Linked DNA regions of Saccharomyces cerevisiae S288C. The protein of the gene in region 2 interacts with the protein of the main gene of each other region in a pairwise test. Each region holds a gene or a part of one and is shown on either strand. Other genes may lie near its edges. The genes, in order: SRP14 and SEC65.

Region 1 (2,794 bases), on a different chromosome or scaffold from region 2:
CCAATGCATTAAAAATTAGGCAATATCCCCTACTTGGAATAATTTCTTTAAAGGCTGAGAAAAAAATAGAGTTAATAGCAAGAGTTGAAGGTTCTATTTCTAACTACAAAGCCCAAGATTTGGAGGCCATATTCTCCAAGAATTATTCTCGATTAATTCAATTGCGTCAGCAAAGACAAAATATTGAAATGCAGAGATTAATAAGACAACAACAGGATTCAAGATACCAGGATTCCTTAAGACGTGATCAACAAAGAGAATCAGAAAGATTGGAACAGACCCAAAGAGAACAAATGGAAAGAGAGCACCAAAGAATAGAAAACCAATGGCTATTGTGGAGAAAAAGCCAACTAAAACCCGAACCCTCTTCTGATAAAGATGCAAGCAAAGTTGCGATCAGACTAGAAAATGGGCAGAGATTAGTGAGAAAGTTTGACGCATCTCTACCAACGGAGGAGATATATGCCTTCGTAGAATTACAGTTGCATGACATGTTGAACTCAGAAAACGATACTTTACCCGTATACCAACCTGCTAATTATCAGCACCAGTATAGCTTCAAATTGATCACGCCGGTACCAAGAAGAGAGCTTGATTTATCTACCAAAATATCTGACGTTAGCGGCATATATCCATCAGGAAATATTGTAATGGAACGCCTGGACGAATGAAAGGAATTTCAAAAATAGTCATCTCAAAACGTTTATTCTAAAGTTTAGTTAAATTTATATCTACACAACTTTATGCAATTAATCTTTTATATCTACGTTGCCATCCTTTAATCTACACATCCAAAGATAACAAGAGGCGCACATGCCTTTTGACTCAAGTGTCACGTGCATCAGTTTTTCTTCGCTACCTTGTTTTTCTTTCCTGTCTTACTGATGGTACCGTTCTTACTCTTCTTTTTCTTCTTCTTGATCAAATTCTGCATGCCCCCCTTAAATACAGATGAATACTCTTGCCAAAATTGATCTAACTCACTTGCTTTTACCACTGTTGAGCATTTTGTTTTCTTGTCATGCGAGCCATAAGACATTCTGATTAATAGTGGGTATTCTCTGTCAGATCTTGAGCTAACTGAAATTTCAGAAGCCTTTTTAGATACATCATAGTCAGGATGGTTGGTAGAATCAAATTCAAGATTCCCTTCCACAGGATCGTGTTCTATGAGTCTTTTGGCCGTTAGACGCACAGTTATATGTTTTTCATTCGCAGTCTGGAAAAATTCTGGAACCTTTGATAAAAATGCACCTGGTGATAAACAGCCAGTATTTGCCATTGTTTTAGGGTGGTAAGAAAGCTACGTTTTTTGATTTGTATTAAAGAAGAGGTATGCCAACCCGTAAGTTAAACATTAACGTTAAGTATGGCTATTTTTTCAAATGAGAGATATATTATCCTTTTGCACGGGCGAGGAAGTAAGAATATGTAATTAGTTGTTTTGTAGAAGCCTCCAATTTAGGGCGATTATGCAAAGACAATCAAATAGCTGTTGTAGTCTTTATCATCGGCTGAATGTTTTGATCTGCCTACGTTCATCTCCTCATGTGCTTAAAATGCCACTCAGTGGTGATCTTGAAAAGCCCGATAAGAGAAATACCATGTTCACAGCTTTCCTTTTACCGGTTCAATCCTAATTCATCTATTCTTTGTTTATTAAATATCTTGTTGTATTTGACAATATATATGTATATACATTACTTAATACGGATCATTTTTTTGGTATTCGTTAGTTGTTTAGTGAAATTCAACGAAAGAACAAGATAGGAAAGTGTTGCATTGTGACCGGTTATGAACTCTTTTTTCATATACATCTGGTTCTTTTCCATATGTACGTAGATCTTTCCCGCAGTTTAGCTCAAATGTAGTTTTTAAATCTTTTGCTAAACGAATGTCCAATCTGAATACGGGTGGATGGATCATGATTCAGCGTTTAATTCATAGTGGCTATCGGATAGTAATAGTGAATTGCAATAAAAGTCCCAGCTTCCTAACCACTTGGACCTCTTACACAGGTTACTCGACCATCCAGTAGCATAAATAAGTGGAGAATGCTCGCTGAAGAAATAGAAACATACAACCATGAAAATAGCCACCACTATATATCCAGTATTGTTTCTTTTGTTAGAAATATAGGTTGAAATCAGGTCTAAAGCATGACCAAATGCTAGGATACCAAAATAATAGGCCGGCAAATAATCGTACAAAAATAACTTTTGCCCCACAAAGAAGTAAGGGAAATAGTGGGCGGCAAAGCCTAATAAGTACTGAAAGACCTGATAGTGGAAATTTATGATGTGCTTATCCCGTAGAATATTCACACCTAATTTCCAAGCAAGAAGCTCAACAGCCACTCCAATGATGAACGTGCAAATAAATGCTGTGACAGACCACCACAAAACAGCGTTACCTAAAAAGTACACCTCTCTGCCATTTTCATTCCAAAAATCAATACCACGCAACATAAGAGGCCAAGTCTTTGGTTCAGATGAGTAGGCATGACTAGTATCCATATAATTGTTAAGGTAGAACATGAACTTGTGGATAGCAACAAACTTCTGCCAAAAGCTCATTTTCTTATAAGAAACCTTCTCTGGATTTGGCAAAGAAATTTCGTTTTCGTTTTCTTCAATATACCATGAAGTTAAGTCTTCCCTTGCAAAGTATGCACACGTAACTTCCTGCTGCCCGAATCCCCACTCAGGTAGCTTTTCAGGATGTGAAAATAAGTAACAACCAGTTAGATAATGCTTCAGCCTAAATTTGGTTTCAATAGCCCTAATATGTTCCT
Region 2 (3,322 bases):
CCCCGGCATCACAGATGCTTTAGATAATATAGTGAATGGATCGGGATCCAAGCCGCATAAATCAAGAATAAGCTCAAATCCCCGTTATTCTCAGCTCTTTGGTTCAGAAAATGACAACATTTTCAAAGATAAACTCTTCGACGATGAAAACGATAATACCTCAGAAATTTCTGTTGTCGAGGATCAGTTGGATCACCCACGTAATATGGAGAAAGTAAGTGTTTCCAGCGGGAATTCAGGCCTAAATCCTAGCCAATTTTATGGGTCAAACAACTTTAGGGATAATATAGCATCCTTGACTATTTCAATTGATCAGATTGAGAAAGAGCTTGAACTTTTAAGGCATTTGATTTTGAAGGCAGATCTGACCAACAATCAAATGCAGTTGAAAATTTTAAAAAAGTCACAAAGAACCCTATTAAAGGAACTAGAAATGAAGGAACTGTTGAAACAGCAATATATGGTACAAGAAAATGGTAATAGTTTGTTCAGAAAAACTAAGATATACATTAGGTCGTACTTCAGTGAGAATTCTAGTAATGGCCTAAAAGAAATAACTTATTATATCATCAATATCCATCATTTTAACAATGGGCAGGTAAGTTCTTGGGATATGGCAAGGAGATATAATGAATTTTTTGAATTAAATACATATTTGAAAAAGAATTTTAGGGATCTGATGAGGCAGTTGCAAGATTTGTTCCCGTCAAAAGTGAAAATGTCATTGAAATATCATGTTACAAAAACATTGCTTTATGAGGAACGAAAGCAAAAACTTGAAAAGTACTTGCGAGAACTATTATCTATTTCTGAAATATGCGAAGATAACATTTTCAGAAGATTTTTGACAGATCCTACCCCATTCAAACTGAACAAGGAATATATGCATGATGATATTCTGGAGGAGCCACTTCATGAACCTATTGGTAGTAGTAATAGCACAAGTAATAGCAGTTCTGTTGTTGATTTACAAAGCTCTGAAGACGGCGGTGAATTGAATTTCTATGAAGATGAAAGACATTTTTTCACCGATTCTGGCTATCCTTTTTATTCGCAAAATAAATCTTTTGTTAAACAGATATGTGACTTATTTATTTCGCTCTTTGCTTTAAATAAGGCCAACGCGGGTTGGTTAAGAGGAAGGGCTATAATTACCGTTTTACAACAGCTTCTTGGGAGCACTATTGAAAAGTATATAAAGGTCAGCATTCAAAAATTGAGATCAGAGGATCAAGTATTTGAAGCAATAGTTACATTCAAGAATATGCTATGGGGTGATAACGGTCTGTTCGAAAGAAAAAGAAATGAAACGGCAGAGGCAACAAGAAGCGAAGGTGAAAGGTTACGGACGGAACAACTCGCTTTAACCAGTTTGCAAAGACTCTTCGCAGACACTTGTGGTCGTGTAGTTGGTCTAAGAGATTCTCATGAAGCTGCTGGCCGGGTCCATGCCATGCTACAGAATCCGTATTTAAATGCCAGCTTACTGTTGGAAGCTCTTGATGCAATTTTATTGGACATAATATGTAATGACTGAAAATAAAACTTGACTAAGTACCGAACAATCTAAAAAAAAAAGTGTAATTGTCACAATAGCAAATAAATTGGTACACTTCTTCAGCCGCTTTAAAAATTGTGTACTTCTTCTTAAAACAATTGGGAAGTATTTATTTTTCACGCTTTTGTAATCTGAAAAAAAAAAAAATATCAATGATATTCAACAGGCTAGCAACTAACGAAATCAAAAGAAATAAAATAAGCCATAAGCTATAGTATCATAAAGTCAAAATGCCTAGATTAGAAGAGATTGACGATTTCAATGATATCGACGACCTTGATATGGAATTGGCCGAGTTAGATCCATCTTTGAGGACGCCGATCGCTCCCAAGATAACGCCTAAGGTTGTAAGGAGCCAGGACCAAGAGAACCCTGCATTTTTACCTGGCACGAATAACAACAGTAATAGCAACAACAATAGTAGCAACGAAAAAGAGCAGTTGAGTTTTATTAACCCAAAAACTGGTAAGGTTGAACGTTCGGAGGCTATTTCGAAGAAAGATTTAGAAGAAGTCAAAAGATTCCAAGTACTCTATCCATGTTACTTTGACATAAACAGATCACATAAGGAAGGGAGAAGGGTTCCTAAGGAGTTGGCTGTTGAAAATCCTTTGGCTAAAACTATGGCAGATGCTGTCCGTGAATTGGGAATATTATGCATTTTTGAAGGTGAAAAATGTCACCCACAAGATTTTGGTAATCCTGGTAGAATTCGTGTACTTTTCAAAGAAAATGGACAATTAATTGGCGCAGCCACTAAATTCAAAGGTGGAAAGAGGCAATTAATGAAAGCTGTTGGGGAGTATATGAAAAGACATCCAACTACTATTGAATCTTTAAGGGAGATTCCATATGGCCCTGATTTCGACAATATTGAATTCAAAAAGATTCCACGTGTAAAGGGATTCAAAATGAATGAGATTGTTCCGCTGCATAGTCCGTTCTTGATGGGCCACCCAATGACAAAATCTGTTTACGAAACTCCTAAGATTACAGCGGCAGAAAAGTCGTTCAAGCCACCAAAAAATAAGTACAAAGTAGTTAGAAGATGATTGTCTCCTTTACCCATTTATGTATATGTATATGTATATTGAGATTAATATATTAATATATTAATAGATTATAATAGCAGAACTATAAGAATATGATGTTTGTTCAGATCAAGTGCTAAATGACTTGTTGTATCAGCTTTTAAATTTTTACATCAAGACAAATCAATTATTCGTATTATTTCGTCTGTAGTTGAAACAGAGTTCAATAAGCCAAGAGTTTTGAAGCAGCTACAGGCAAGAGGTACCGAAACACAGAAAAAAGTAACAAGAAAACTCTCTCGCTCTATATATATGTGTGTGAATATACGCTATTTATACACATATATAGATGAGCGGCGTGCATGTATCGTAGTAACTAAGATTAATAGTTCTTAAAAGAGATAAATAAATCATTTAATTAAAAAACTGATTTTTAAGCGGAGGCACCGTAGGTTTGAAGGTATTGTTCGATCTTGCTTTTCTCTTCTGCTGTTATTCTGCCTTCCAAATAGGTAATTATGTGAATTAAGGAGACAATGCTCAAGACTGGGATACCGTATTTTTTGCTAACAGTTTGAGTGGCGCTGAGTCCTTCTTTATCGTCAGTACTCACAACTTCCTGTCTATCAAGAGCAATTATGGAGCCAACTACCTGACCCTTGGCGTTACTGATGATCTCAAAGGCCTCGTTAATGGCAGTACCAGCAGTCATGACGTCGTCGATGATTAATAT

Evidence for each region.
Region 1: the proteins of SEC65 (region 2) and SRP14 interact in binary tests that used the Saccharomyces cerevisiae proteins (3 or more experiments, as listed by UniProt).

What each region holds. Positions count from the first base shown.
Region 1 is NC_001136.10:291,269-294,062, reverse strand, and holds SRP14 (RNA-binding signal recognition particle subunit SRP14), read right to left. Parts: upstream 1,283-2,794; coding exon 842-1,282; downstream 1-841. Other genes in the region: clathrin-mediated endocytosis regulator UBX3, read left to right, coding at 1-671; putative dolichyl-phosphate-mannose-protein mannosyltransferase PMT5, read right to left, coding at 1,923-2,794. UniProt on the Saccharomyces cerevisiae protein: Component of the signal recognition particle (SRP) complex, a ribonucleoprotein complex that mediates the cotranslational targeting of secretory and membrane proteins to the endoplasmic reticulum (ER).
Region 2 is NC_001145.3:57,154-60,475, reverse strand, and holds SEC65 (RNA-binding signal recognition particle subunit SEC65), read left to right. Parts: upstream 1-1,788; coding exon 1,789-2,610; downstream 2,611-3,322. Other genes in the region: MDM1 (Mdm1p), read left to right, coding at 1-1,537; orotate phosphoribosyltransferase URA5, read right to left, coding at 3,023-3,322. UniProt on the Saccharomyces cerevisiae protein: Signal-recognition-particle (SRP) assembly has a crucial role in targeting secretory proteins to the rough endoplasmic reticulum (ER) membrane.